Lonchura striata: one gene and its partner. The protein of the gene in region 1 purifies or fractionates together with the protein of each later gene. This does not show direct contact. Links are inferred from orthologs where the notes say so. Each region holds a gene or a part of one and is shown in the gene's direction. Other genes may lie near its edges.

Region 1 (7,367 bases):
CCGAGGCTGGCTCTGGGAGCAGGGACGCTGCAGGGCTCGAGTTTGGCCCCAGTTCAGTGCATCCAGCACTGAAATTGCCTGCTTTCTCCTGGCTTATTCCTGCCTGTGTTCCTGGGTTAGGGAGTTTTCTGGTTGCTACAGGAAATGCTGAGAAGAATCAGGCATTCAGCCCCGTGGAGTTGTGATAGAGCATCTGCCATCATCATCCTCTTCTCCCACCTGGTTTGTGTTAGCCCAGACCAAAGCCTTGGTGTTTGCAAAGTTTGGGGCCCAATGCCATATTTAGAGCTGTACTTTTAAGGAAAAACTTCCTCCAGTTGATTCTTTGAACCCAAGTGTTGGCAATTGTAAGGAGTAGTCTTATTTTTAAATTTTTACTGCTTTGCCCTCCTTCCAATTGTAGTTTTTCTTAGTGTCGTGTCCCCCACACACTTCATGGTCTGCACGCTTGGCAATAAAAAGATGTAATATATTTTGAAACTTGTTTGCTGCTGGCTTGAGGGGCTCCTGGTCTAAAACAACCACCCTGGCATTGTTCCCTGCAGTGCTGATCGAGGACATTTGCTGACATCTGGGTCCCGCTGTCCTTTTCCTTCCCTGCTGATTTTTTTCCTGGTGTTGGGGTTCTGCTCAGGCTGGATCTTGTCACATGAGCTCAGAGGATGTTGCCATCACTTCAGCACAGTGCTGACTGTGGGGGTGTTGGTGAGGTCCCCAGTGCCTGTCTCTGATTATCCACTGGTTTTCCTGGCACAGCCTCCAAAGGAACGTGTCTTGTCAGTCCAGAGATCCAAAAGTTTGTGCTTCTGCTGCTTGTGAAACCTTGAAAATGCCGTTTTCAGACCACACATAGCATTTGAAGCAGTGTTCCTCACCCTCCCAGCTTTCTGCTGTGAATCCAGGCCAGCTCTTGGCTACAGACCCCCTGTTTTGGGCAGCTTGGCATTCCCCTGACAGCAAAACCGCACGCAGAGAGCAGAGATCCCTTCTCCTCCTGATGGCTTTGTCTTTCTGCATCCATCCTGGCCATGCCCTGTTCCAGTCATGGTGCCAGGCTCTGCTGTAGGCACAGATGGTGACAGAGGTCTCAGCTCTCCCTTCCTGGCTCCCAGTTTTATCCCTGCCTCTCTAATATGGATGCTCTACCCTGGTGTCAACTCAAAATGAAGCTGGAGCAGCTTCCCAGAGCAGAACTTCCGTGGGATGAGGCGCTGGCTCTGTCTCTGGACATGCTGAGGTCTTGCACCTCTAGCCTGGTCCCAGCCACCAGCTCATCCCAGTCCTTGTGCAGGCTGTGCGTGTGCAAGATTCCTTTCCCAGCTTGTTTTGCTGTTCCTGCATGTCCTGCTCGGGAGCTTTCCCCTCCTTCCCCGTTCCCATCCATGCAGAGTGGCTGGGGGACAGGAGGATCTCCTCCCCAACCACGATCTGCTCTTGGTTTTTAACCTGAACTGGTTGGGGCTTGGCACCTTGGAGAGAGAGGGAGAGCAGGATCCCTCAGGAGGGGAGTCCCCAGCGTGCAGGCAGGGCCATCTTCCCACTTGTACAGACATTTTCTATAGACACGGATGTATATGTGTAGATAACATGGTTTTTTAACTCTTTTGCACTGAACAACATCGGAGTGAAACCTGGATTCAAAACCAGAAGACATTTTTCACACGGATCCAGAGGTCTGGATCCTTCCTGTAACCTGTCTGGTTGAAGCTGTGGCTCGGAATTCCCGGGTTTCGCTGTTGGGCTGCACGCAGGCAGGGGTCAGGCTGGTGCCATGGGGCTGGGGCTGAGCAGGGAGTGGGGTGAGCTGGAGTTTGGAGGCAAAACTGCCCTGGGCCAGGCTCATGACAGCCCTGACCCTGCTGGTTTGTCGTGTGTCTGGTCTGGTTGTGTGTGGTCCAACCTCTCCATCCACCCACAGCGTGTCCGTGCTCAGCCCCAAACTGGGAGCTGCATCCAGTGTGACAATCCGTGTGCCCAGACCAGGAGAAACTGTCTTTGCTAAGGAAGGGGGAGGAAGGTGGGGTTCATCCCTGCTTTTCCACAAAGAACAGGAGGAATTGGGGTTTGTTGCTGGTACCGTATCTCGAGAAGGGTCAGTGGTGGAATTAGCCAAGCCCATGGATCAAAACATCTGCCAGGCTTTGAGGAGAACTCGGAGGGGGAGCAGAGTCTTAGACCCCCACCAGCAGCAAAGAGTCTTTTACCTGCCAAAAGTGTTCCCTTTCCCTGTTGGGAGGAGAAACATTCAGGTGAGAAATGTCTCTGCTCCTTCCCCTGCCCACACTTAGAAGTTTTGGCTGACTTTAATTTTTTGGGTTTTTTTTTAAAAGATTCTAATTTTTTTTTTGTTACCAATAAAAATAAAAATTAAAAAAAATAAAAAAGAAAGTGGCAATATTTTTTTCTGTAAGCTTTTCCTAGGAAAAAGCGTGGTTTGTAACAAAGTTGTACAGTTCTGAAGTTTGAGATACGAGAAGTACTGTGTGAAACGCTGTAAATGGAGCAGAGATTATTTTATGTACAGTCTGACGTGGGGGAATCTTTTAATTCCAATTGATTCTTAGGAAGAATTTGGTTCTTCACTGTCAGGGTTTGGAATTTCATGGTTTCATTATTATTTTTTTTTTTCTTGTATAGATTGCTGCATTAATTGAATAAAAGCAGGAAGCATCTCTTGGCCTGGCTGTGTGGTACTGGGGGCTGGGACGTGCCTCGATTCCCCCTGGCAGGAGCGAGGTGGTTTGGAGCAGGGAAATGGTTCTAAATAAAGGGAGTCACCGGCTCCCCGGGGACAGGGTGGCCAAATGGGGTGGCTGTGCTGTCCTAGAAAGCAGGGACAGGGATCTCTGCCTTCCTCCCCTTGCTGCCAGCACCCTGTGCTTCGGCCTCGTGCTGAGCCCCTCATCCTCCTGGTGCCTCCCTCCTGCGAGAGGAGACGGGGTGGGTGTGCGGTGCCAGAGAGGGGATGGATGGGATCTGCTGCTCTGTGGCCTTGCTTCTTCCTCCTCTTTTCCTTTCCTCTTTCCTTTCTCTCCCTTTCGCTCTTTCTCTCCTCTTTCTTTCCCTCCCTCCCTTTCTCTTCTTTCTCTCCTCTTTTCTCTCCTGCTCTCCTCCCTTCTCTCCTATCCTCATCCTCCTCTCTCCAATTCTCCTCTCTTCTCCCTCCTCTTCCTCTCTTCTTCACACCTCTTTAGCTCTTATTCCCTCTCCCCTTTCTCTCCCCTTTCTCTCCCCTTTCTCTCCCCTTTCTCTCCCTCTTCTCCCTCCTCTTCCTCTCTTCTTCACACCTCTTTAGCTCTTATTCCCTGTCCTCTTTCTCTCCTCCCCTTTTCACTACCCCCTTCTTGCTCCCATCTGTTTTCCTTCTTCCTCCTTTGACTTTTTCCTCCTTTTCCCTCTCTTGGGAGCAGACCCAGCCTCCCCACGCTCGGTCCCGGGGCTGTGCCGGCGCTTCGGGCCCCTCCATCCCTGCGTGAGCCCATCACCGGGGCTCGGTTCCCCGCTCGCCCGGGGCTGTTTTCCGCCCCAAACCCTGCACCGCCCCGCAGCCGCATCTCCCCGGGCCGGGGTTAGTCAGCAGGGAGGGGAAGCCGTGCCCTGCCCGGGCTGACTCACCCCAAAACTGGGTGCAGGGCAGGCTGCACCCCCTCCCACCTGGGGATGGTGCCGCGGGGGGAGTGGGGAGCAACATTCCCGGTGCCCTAGCGGGAATAATGAGTCGCCAGCCGGGAATGAGGCTCGAGTGCTCATTCCGGGAGCCGCCAGGATGCTCCGGGCCTAGCAGCCGGGGCGCCGCCATGTTGATGCACCCCATGGCTGTGGGGCACACCATGAGACCCTAAATCCACGACGCCCCATGTTTGTGGGGGCTTTGGGACCACCGTGACCAAGCTTGGGGTATCCTCGCTGTCTCTCACTATGCCCACGGCGAGGGAAGACGCCGAAAGAAGAGGATTTAAAAAAGAATACAAATAAACCCAGCGCAGAGGGCGTTGAGTTAGAAGACTACATCTCCCATCGGCAGCCGCGGCGGCGCAGGCGCAGCGCAGGTGGGCGGGGCCGCGGCGCGCGGCGCGCGTTGCCGCGCGGTGATTGGCGGGCGGAGCTGTCCGTCAGGCGCTCCGCCCCGCCCCCGCCGCGGCGGTGCTTGCCCGGGCTCGGCGGGCGCGCGCACCGGGACCCCGCACCGGCACCGGGGACCCCGCACCGGCACCGCGCCCCCTGCCGGCCCCGCCCCGCGCCGCGCCCCGCCGCCGCCACCGCCGCCCCGGGACCGGCCCCGGGACCGCCGGCCGCGCCCGCCCCGCCCGGTACCGCGCCGCCGCCACCGCCGCCGCCGCCGGCCCAACCATGATGAAGTTTCGGTTCCGGCGGCAGGGTGCCGACCCGCACCGCGACCGCCTCCGCCACGACCTCTTCGCTTTCAGCAAGGTGCGTCTAGGGCGAGCGGGGGGCGCGGCGGTGGATCCCGGGGGGCGGCGACCGCCGGGAGGCACCGGGGGTACCGGGCAGGGTGCGGCGTGCGGGCAGCCCCCCGGTGGCGCGGGGCTCTGGTACCCCCGCGGGATGCCGCCCGCGGGGAGGCGAGCAGAGTGCGGGGCACCGCCCCCCGGGACCGGCTGAACCCCCGGGGGAGCCGCGCACCGGGACCTCCCCGCTCCCGGGGAAGGGGCACGCGGGAACGGCGGGGCTGCCTGGCCCGGGGATCCCGGGACGGGCTGCTGGGCCGCCCCGGGAGGATGCACACCGGGGGTGGGTACCGGGAGCCCCCGGGTGCGAGATGCGCCCCGGGGTGCGGACCGGGGGGCTGCGCTCCTCCCCGTGCGGTGCAGGGGGGCACTCCGGGAGAGGATGCGACCCCCTGAGCAGCGCGACATCCCGGTCCCCAGCCCCTCCTGGGGGGGCTCCCGGAGCGCCCCGGTTCCCGCACTCCCCCCTGTCCCGTGGATCCCCCGAGGCCTCGCTCGCGGGCGTTTTGGGGTGACCCGTGGTCCCACACCCTGTCTGGCCTTGGAGCATCCCTGGCTGCATCCCCCATGTGGGGCTCAGCCCCCCACTCCCGTCTCCCCAGGGGTGGGATACTGGGGGGCTGGACCCCCTGTGTCAGCCGGAAGGGCTGTGCCAATGACCCCCTGGGCTTTTGGGGTGCCCTGGCACCCCAAAGATGCGTCTCTGTGGGGACATGAGAGGTCAGCTCTTGCCCCCCTCCTCCCTCCGAGTTTTACCACTTGCCTCCTTCATTTGGGGTGGGAGCGACCCCCAAGCTCATCAAACAAGCCCTGAGGTGCCAGACCCTTCCCTCGGGACACCGGGCTGTGCCTGGGACTTGGTGCACCTTGTCCTGGAGGCGCCGTGGTGGCCTTGGGACCGTGCTGCTGCCCTGCCCGCGGGGCATGAGACCACCGGCAGTGCCCCCTGGATGCGCCCAAACCGTGCCCGTCTCTCCGTCATTCGGCCGCGTCCCGGCACTGCCGTGGGGTCCTTGCCCAGCTCCTGCTGGGGACGCACCGGGGCGACCCCCGGCTGTCCCACAGCGGGGTCGGGTGTGCAGTGCTGAGGGGTCAGCGCCCCGCACAGCCCTGGCCCCCCAACTCTCTGCCGTGGATCCGGCCGGGGTGCAAGGCTCAGCCCAGCCTGAGCCCCCCTGTTTTTGGGGAGCACAGTCCCGCGGCCGGATCCTGCCCGAACGAGTGCCCAGGGCGGGTGTGAGCAGTGGGATGTCCTGGGGGGAGGCTGAGGAGAGCCCCTCTCCGGCCGTCCCAGCCCTGGGGCCGCGGGCTGCCCACCTGCCTCCCATTAAGGGTTGTTTTTCCTCCCGAGCTCCAGATCTGCCTGGGATTTGCTGTAATTTGGCCGGGAGCGCGCCTTGGCCGGCCGGCACAGCCTGCCGGATGCGGCCCCGCTGCGGGCGGGAGCGGGGGCTGCGGCGGGGGTCCCTCCTTTTGGGACTGGGAGTGCTGGGGAGCTGCGACAGCGCTTTTTGGGGACTCTTTGCCCGTGTCACCGTGTTGGTTTCTGGCCTAAAGCATCGCTGTGGTGCTGCTGTCCCAGCTCCGTCCTCCAGCGCAGCGTGCATCCCGGGGGGATTCAGCATGACCCTGCGTGGGTGGGCACCCACGAGCACCCACTTCCTCGCCCCTTGGACGCGTTGGGACCCACTTGGATGGGCCGGGACGCCTGGGATGGGCTGGGGGCGTTTTCACGCTCCTGGAGGTGTCCCCTGGGAGGGGAGCAGGAGCTGGGGTGCCGCCGGCGGGTGCGCAAAGCCGCCCCGCTGCGCCTCTCGGATGCCCCAGACAAAGGGAGCGGGTCAGGATCCGGCCAGTCTGGCTCCGGCGGCCTCCGTATCGTCTGATCGCGCCGTCGCCGCTCCGCCGAGCTGCCCTCGGGAGCCCTGCGGTCCCCGCGCCGGGGCCGGGCCGGTGGGTGCCCCCCGCGTCCCCCCGCTGCCGGGGCAGCCCCTCCCCGGCCGGCGAGCCCGGGCACGCCGTTCGGCCGGGACTTCCTTGGGAAGGTGCCCTGGGGCCACGCGCGGCTCCGGCGGGGACGTCCCTGGCGCTGGCGGGTCCCGCTCGCCTGGTTCTGCCGCCCGGCATCGGGGACGCCCGGTGATGTCGCACTGGGGGTCCCGCTCGCCTCCCCTGGGGTGTCCCCACCTCCGAGGTTCAGAGCAGGGGGGTCCCACCCCCAAAGTGCCGGCGGGTGGTGGGGCAGCTCGTTCAAGGTCAGCCCTACCCCGCTGTGGCTGTTGGGCTGGGTTTTGGAGTGCTGGGTGGAAATTGGGTGAGGAGTGATGTCCCCTTTCCCCGGGGCCCTCCTTGGTGGCACTGGGGGACAGAGCAGCATCTTCGTGATCCCCCATCTCCGGGGTGATGCTCAGGCTGGTGCGGGATCGCAGCTGTGGGGGCGAGGGGGGCTGTGGAAGGTTTGGGGGTGTCCGAGGTGGGGGGGGTCCCGCTCTGACCTGCCTGTCCCCATGGCAGACGGTGGAGCACGGCTTCCCCAGCCAGCCCAGCGCCCTGGCCTACGACCCCGTCCTGCGTGTGATGGCCATCGGCACCAAGGCGGGAGCCGTCAAGCTGTATCCTTTTCCTCCCACATGAGCAGGAGGTAAGGACCTCCCGGACCCTCCCGCGTTCGCTCCTCCGGCTCTCCCCATCCCGGAGAATGCTTGGAGACGTGGCTGCGCTGCTTCTGGCCCATCCCGCAGCCCCCACTCGGCTGACGTCCATCCCTCCGTCCAGCTGTGCTGCAGCTGGAGGAGTGCTGGAGGAAACCCCCACCTCGCCCCAAAACGCCGGCGGGGGAAAGGGGCTCGGCCGTCCCGGGGGGAGCATCCCAAGTGTGGGGTCCTTCCTGCCGTTACC
Region 2 (7,532 bases), on another chromosome or scaffold:
ACAAATGGATTGCTAGATGAAGGGGAAGAAAGAGCTTTAAAAGCTTTTCATTATTTTAGTTAGAAACCTCAGAGAATTTAAATGAATGTATCAATATCAGCTTTCGACTTGCTAGGAAGGGGTTTTCAGAAAACTTCACGAGTTTATTGCTGGACCAAGTTTATAACTGGATTTATAACACACCTGAAACAAATGTTTCTTTCACAGGCAGCATGGTATGAAGACAACCTTTCCCATAAAGGCAGACAAAATAAAAGTACAAACCAACGAAGACCCCCCCCAACCCCAGGAAACTATAAATATTTTATCGGAAAAGATCTTATATATGAACTTGAAAAACAATCAATTCATTTTGTCACAGACAGGTAAGTAAATATTGCATCAAAGTAACAACTAAAGGTTCCTGGAGGAGGAGTGGAGAAGAAAAATTGCTGCTAGTTTTCCTGACAGGAAAGAAGAAAGCAAAGGCAGAAACAGAACACAAAAACTTATTACTAACCCAACTATTGTTTCCCCCCTCAGTAAAATAAAATTTTAAAAACTCAAACAAACAGATAAACAAAAAACCCATCCCAAATTAAAATCCTGTAACTGCCACAATTTCAGTGTAAGAAATAAAATTTTTATTACACAAGTGCTACTCAAATACTGCTGTTATTAATGAAGCAGCTACGTTGCCATGCCCTGGGGTTTTCTTGCTGAGCCTTGCTGCTGTTTTTGTGTAGAGCTGTTGGTGTGGAGTGTGTTCCATGGAGATAAAGGGTAACAAGCTCCCCTTCTCAAATTCTTCCTCTCTGATGCAGCACTTGTGAGCTCACATCCTGCCTCGGGATCAGCACTATCAGCAGAGAGTATTCAATGGATTTTATGGATTCGTGGGAAGTAGTGCTCTACAATAATTTTGTATTTGTGACCATCAGACGCCCCCATGACAGCACTGGTTTGTCTCCAGCACTCACTTATCAAGGAGAGGCCAAAAGCAATTTGAGGTCACGCTGGTCCCTAATATTGTGAAAATGGAGTATCCAAGAGCACACACTACTGTTGAAAATGCTTCTTTGTAGGGAAATGTAACTGGGACACAACATTAATGTATCAAAATTGCAGAAGGTATCAAAAAGAAAGCCTGTAAGTACAGGATTTATTTTTGAAAGAAAGCAGAATTTTATTAACATTTTGAAAATAAAGCTTCTCTTTTTCCCCTTTAGTTTTCTCTACCCATAAAAAACTCTCCAGTCTCTCATCAACTCCAAGACAAGCTCAGATTACAATCTAGTGCATCTAACAATCACTCCTCTGAGCTGGCACTGACAGTGTAAATAAAGACTACTTTATGTTAAATATGAAATCAGCATAAGCCCTGAACTATGTAATAAAAGATTAGGTGGATCATCAATATAGTTAACCTATGCTGACAGCAATTTTCTGTGCTTTATTCTTGGAAATACTCTCTGAAATCCCAGGAGGGCTGTATGGAATACAATTCCACTTAAAATCTCAGAAATCTGGAATAGGAAACCAACATCTTGGCACAATCTCACTATACTGCATGGTGGACCTAAGTGATGGAATTTCTACACAAAAACAAACAAATGGGGAGAAAAAGGCCTCCCAAAAAAGCTTCCCCAGCTGCTCAGAGATCAGGAAACCCAACCTGTCTTTCAACTTCACAGAAACTGAACGTGCCGTGAATAGCTTGACCAGGTCTGAATCACAGGTTGTACAGAACTTGTGACTAAAATAGCTCTATAAGCTTACCTTACAAAGAGCCTGCCTCACTCCCCACCTTTATCTGAGATCAAATTGTTTATCACATTCCTTCCTCGTACGTCAGCTCCTTGTGATGAAAGCCAGCCAGTGATTAATACATTTTATTAGGTTGGTTCCAGTGACTTGAAATGAATTTGCCCTGACTCCTCAGGCTCGCTCCCACACCCACTGCCTGGCACTCCAGCCATGCTAGGAATGCACAATAGAAAACAAATTATCTTAGGCGATACCTCATAAATCTATAGCAGTAAAATTAACTGCACAACAGCTCCAAGCAGAAATCAGCTTCAGGAGGTTTTTCCTCCCTTTCTCCAGGAGAAAAGAGCCAACCCAGCAGCTTTAAAGCCCCAGAGAAATCACTGTTCCCTTGTCTCTTGCACTCTTCTCTGTGCTCAGCTCATTAAACAGAGCTGTAGAAGACAGATATGGAAAGCAGTCCAAACTCTTTTCAATGTTATAATTACAAAGTGACAGAATAAGAGGTTTTATCCTGGTCTTGCTCTCAGAGCTGTAATCTTCCTTCTACTGCACCAGGATCACAGATTCTATCTGAATTTACAGGTTGAATTCTCTACGTGTCCTTCTGCAGTGTAAAACCAAAACATGCTGGATAAAGGATGAGAAGATTTGAATCAGCCTAGACACCGTCTGGCAGCAAACTATATTTAACTATTAACAATATCCTCTGTGCTAATTACAGCTTGTCTTGGCTCGAGTGAGAGCTGCAATTCCTTTGCCTTTGGCGTGATGGGAGGAAGATCAACTGTACAAAAATCAGCACCGACTTAGAAGTGATTCAGCACTGGATGCATTTTATTTAATTACTGATTACCAACTGAGACTTGAGGACTAGACACCCGTGGCGTGCCTCAGGTGCAAGGCATTGTTTGAGCTACCATCACTGGCATCCACACATGATGAAACCTCACACGGCATTCTCTTCCACCAGGTTCATAGATAATGGAGAGACCTGTAATTCAAAGGTCTGTTGACATAATGAGATTAATGTACATGCTTTCTTCTTGTCCATACACGTGAGAAGTAATTTATTTTCAGACAGTTTACAATCTTTTTCTAAACCTTGTACTTTTGTCAGGGTAGCTTAACTGGCCTTTAAATGAAATTTAAAAGTTAGCTCTGACATTACCAGATCCTGCAATCTTATTTGTGACCAAAATGAAAACAAGCTCCATGAACAGCTTTACGTTCAGGATGGACATAAAGCCACATCCTGAGAGGGAGACGTCACACTTTTGGCCTGACCAAGGTTTATTTATGTAACATGCAAACATCAGCTAGCACTGGTGCGGTTTGCGTGTTACATCCGTGGGATCCCAGGATCCCTGAATCACAGAATCACTGGGACTGGAAACGATCTTTCTCTGGAGATCATCCAGTCCATCCCCACGCTCCATGTCTGAGGGCTCGGAGCCTCCAGGGCAGCCTGACCCGGGGGCTCCGGGGCTGTGAGGGGCACTGGGCCGCGGGATGCGGCTCCGCAGGGCTGCGGAGGAGCAGCAGCGCAGCACGAGGCTCCTGGGGCTGTGGGAGAATTAGGGCTGGCTCCTCGGGGCTGTGGAGGATCCAGAGCTCGCCATGGAGGCTCCCGCGGCTGTGGGAGAATTAGGGCTGGCTCCTCGGGGCTGTGGAGGATCCAGAGCTTGCCATGGAGGCTCCCGCGGCTGTGGGAGAATTAGAGCTGGCTCCTCAGGGCTGTGGAGGATCCGGAGCTCGCCATGGCTAGAGCTGACTCCTCAGGGCTATGGAAGACCCAGAGCTCGCCATGGAGGCTCCTGGGGCTGTGGGTTAGGGTTGGCTCCTCAGGGATGTGGAGCATCTGGAGCTTGCCATGGCCAGGGTTGGCTCCTCAGGGCTATGGAAGACCCAGAGCTTGCCATGGAGGCTCCTGGGGCTGTGGGTTAGGGTTGGCTCCTCAGGGATGTGGAAGACCCAGAGCTCGCCATGGAGGCTCCTGGGGCTGTGGAGGACCCAAAGCTCGCCACGGCCAGGGTTGGCTCCTCAGGGCTGTGGAGGATCCAGAGCTCGCCATGGAGGCTCCTGGGGTTGTGGGTTAGGGTCTGGTTGGCTCCTCAGGGATGCGGAAGACCCCGAGATCGCCATGGAGGCTCCCGGGGCTGTGGGAGGGTTAGGTTGGCTCCGCAGGGCTGTGGGGGAGCCGGAGCTCGCCGTGGAGGCTCCCGAGGGCCGCGGGAGGATGCGGAGCCGCGGGATGGCGGCTCCCCGGGGCGGGAGGTGCCTGAGGAAGCAGCGGGAGCCGAGCCGCGCTCCGGCCCCGTGCGCGCACAGCCGCGGCCGCTGCGGGCACAGGAGCGGCGGCACGGCCCGCACCCGCTGCGGGGACAGGAGCACAGAGCCCCGCACGGGCCCGCACCCGCTGCGGGGAGAGAAGCAGAGGCACGGCCCGCACCCGCTGCGGGCCAGCAGCACAGCAGCGCGGCCCCTCACGGCCCCTCACGGCCCGGACCCGCTGCGGGCCAGCAGCACGGCCCCTCACGGCCCCTCACGGCCCCCGCCCCGCCGCCTCCATCTTGCGCGGCGGGGCAGGTGCGGCCCGCGGAGGCGGCGCAGGCGCGGCGCGGCCCCGCCCCGGTGCCCGGCAGGTGCCGGAGCCGCGCGGCCCCGCCCCGGCCCGGCCGCGCTGAGGGCGGAGGCGGCGGAGCGGCCGCGGGTGCCGGGCTTTGGCTGGGCCGCGCCGCCGCCCGTCCCGCGGCGCTCCGGCGGACGGAGGAGCCAGAGCAGCGACCGCGCGCGGCATGAGCCGGGCTCCGCGCGGCGCCGCGGGCAGCCGCGGCCTGGGCACCATGGAGGTGAAGAGCAAGGTGGGAGCTGCCGCCGCCCGAGGGCCGCGGGCGCGGGGGAAGGAGCGGGCCGGCCCCGCGCGGCCGCGGTGTCGCTGCGGGGACGGGATGGGGACGGCTGCTGACTCACCTGCCCGAGGGGCCGCCGGGCACGGCCCCGCCGGGCCTGAGCGCTCCGCAGGCCGCGGGCCCGGCGCTCCCTCCCCCGGCCCCGCTGCCCAGCGCTGGGGTCGCTTGCTGGGTGCGCTGTCTGCGGGCGCGAAATGTAAATGGTTTTGAAGTGCTTTAAAAAAAAAACAGGTAAGTGGAGTTGACCCCTGAGTTTCTGGACAGAATGAAAGACGTACAGACAAATATGTGCTCTAGGGAAAGTGTGGGATCACTGGGCCAAAAGAGGTATTTAGAGACATTCTTGGGGAGTGGGCTACATGATCTCCAGAGGTCCCTTCCAACCCTGAAAGTCCTGTGATAATTCGAGACCTTCTCTTTGTCCGAATTGCGGTGAGTGCGTTTGTTAGTGACTGTTTCTGTAGTTACCTTTTTTCCCCTAATGATTATGTCTTTCTGCAGCTTGTTGTGCGGTACAGCATAGGCTCACAGTAGAGCTAGAGGTGAGCCCTGGCTGGCTTATCCGAAAGTGGAGTTTGCCTTCTCTTAGAGGCCCCGGGAGACTTTTACCCTGGCAATGTTTCAGGAGTGTGTACCTGTGTGTTCCCGCAGAGATCACCTCTGTCAGGTGCTCACAGCTTTGCCCAGCTCTGTAAATTCCCCCATGCGTGTATCCACGTCTCTTCTATTTTTAATTTTTATTTGCTGGTTAGGCAAAGTTTTTCTGACAAAACTTAGATATTCTGAGAAAAATTAGATTTTTTTTTTTTTTTGTTCTGCTTTATATTTGTAATAACTTCCAGTTGTAAAACTGCTGGATGTACAGTATGAGTTGGAGTATCACCGTTAGTTTAATAAATGTTGCGCTGAAACACCTTTTTCATTGCCTAGGCAGATTGTAAGTGCATCCACGTGGGAATGTGTTTTCCATTGGTGGACACATGGATCTCTCTGGTTGTTTTTTGAAGTGTTCTGTCCCCTCCTTTCCTGCTAGTGAGGTCTTACAGCAGCAGTGCAGGTGAAGCAGTCAGGACTTGAGCTGTGTGGATGTCTAAGGGTAACGCATCATAGTGCTGGAACTTCTGGAGAGTGTAAGGTTGGTCTCTACTTGAATGAGGATGATTTCTTTTAGAGTGTTCATTTTTCATGTGGTTTTAACCAGCAAGCACAGGAATATCTGGTAGCTGTTATTTCAAATACCGGCTAAGTTAGTACTATGATGGTGAAGTCTTCTATTTATGCTCTTATAAGGTTGAAAAGAGTCAGTATGATGTGCTTACAAACCCAAATCACTTGTTTCCTCAGCCCAGAACTCCAGGTTTACTGTTTTCCCTGCTGTGTGTTTTCCTTGATTTAAAATACATCGAGGGAATCAGCCATGTGGTGTGTTCTGGTGTTTGTACAGAGAAGTGTAGCCCTAATGAACAGGGATTGTCCCTCAAGTGCATATTATGGAGCAGGATTCAAGACATTCCTAGAACTACTTGTTGCTAATGCATTATTTAACAGCACCTCAATTAATATCACAGAGGAGTCATCTTCCTTCTATGAAAATGAGCAATTCTGAAGAGAAAGAAATGCCTGTGTGGGAGGTGGAGGGACCATTCCTGTGGAGTGGCCTGGGCTTTGAAGGCTCTCCGTGATGTACAGCTCTTTATTTAGATATTCCAAATCAATAATTGTGCCTCAGCTGACAAGGCTGGGCCAGCACAGCCCAACTGTGCTTGCAGTAGCAGGAGCACAATCCTTTTGTTAGTTTAGTTTATTCACTTTGGGTAACTGCTCTGAGCTTGCCCTGGCAATTCCCCATAGTACTTGAATTCCAGTCAGCCTGTTTTCTTGTCATGGAAAATAAAACTTTATACCCCAGACTAGAGTTCCTACTGATGGTATGGGAACCCCAAAATAAGCTTCTAGTTCTCTATATATTAAAATTCGTGTTTTCCCCCTTTCTCATGACTTGGAATAATATTTTTTCTGAGTAAAATCTTAATGACTGGTGAGCCAGAGAAGGTCAGTGCAGCTCATGTTCTGTCAATGATGGAGACATGCATAGGGCAGCTCTGTGCTGTGTTTCAGACCCATACATGAGTGTTGAGTGGGCATCCCGGGTGCCTTCCTGGTGTGCTGCCATGGCTCTCCTGCCTTCTCCCAGGGGAGCAGCACAGGCTTGTAAAGAGCTCAGGTGGCAAGGAGCCTTCTGTGCTTGAGTTACTCCTCCAGTGTCTCTAGGACCTCAAGTGCAGGCCTGTTTCATGGGATGGAGGGCAGCATCTGGTAGAAAATGCAGACGTTTCAGGGATTCAGATAATGGAATTGCACAGTTGGACTTGTCTTTTACCTGCTTTCTAATAGTATTGAGCAAACTATGTTAGGAAATACGAGTGGGTTATGAGCCTTTTGGTATTTGCACCAAATATGTATAAAATAACATGGAAAAAATAAAAATCGCACGTTTGAAAATCTGACCCTTTGCTTGCTGTGGTAAGATTCAACATTTATTCCAGCCTGAGGGTGAGGTTGTTGACTTTTTAAAACTTTTGTTACTGAATTACGTTTAAAGTATGTAATCCTTGAAAGCCAAAGAATTTCGATGGCTGCCATGCATGGACAGTTCCTGCGGGGCTCGGATCTGAGACAGGACGAAGTCCTGCACTGATGTCACCATTAAGCTGCGCTGCCTCTGACGTGATGGGAGTTCCTCCCGTGGGCTGGGCTTTGTTTGTAAGCAGGTACGAATCATCCCTTCTTCCTCATTAGTTAATGTTAGGGTAATTGCGGGGTTTTTTACAGCAGGAATGTTCCCAGATAATTCCCTTATTTGAAGCTTTTGGA

What was found.
Region 2: the proteins of LLGL1 (region 1) and PARD6B purify together in Homo sapiens (affinity purification with mass spectrometry; 5 studies listed by BioGRID and IntAct, counting the BioPlex papers as one, with this or other methods). This does not show direct contact. The link is inferred for Lonchura striata from reciprocal best matches to the Homo sapiens genes LLGL1 and PARD6B.

What each region holds. Positions count from the first base shown.
Region 1 is NC_134618.1:15,718,881-15,726,247, forward strand, and holds the start of LLGL1 (lethal(2) giant larvae protein homolog 1), read left to right. Parts: upstream 1-4,311; 5' UTR 4,312-4,350; coding exon 4,351-4,431; intron 4,432-6,983; coding exon 6,984-7,081; intron 7,082-7,367. UniProt on the Homo sapiens protein: Cortical cytoskeleton protein found in a complex involved in maintaining cell polarity and epithelial integrity. Involved in the regulation of mitotic spindle orientation, proliferation, differentiation and tissue organization of neuroepithelial cells.
Region 2 is NC_134619.1:1,171,924-1,179,455, forward strand, and holds the start of PARD6B (partitioning defective 6 homolog beta), read left to right. Parts: upstream 1-4,476; 5' UTR 4,477-4,544; coding exon 4,545-4,610; intron 4,611-7,532. UniProt on the Homo sapiens protein: Adapter protein involved in asymmetrical cell division and cell polarization processes. Probably involved in formation of epithelial tight junctions.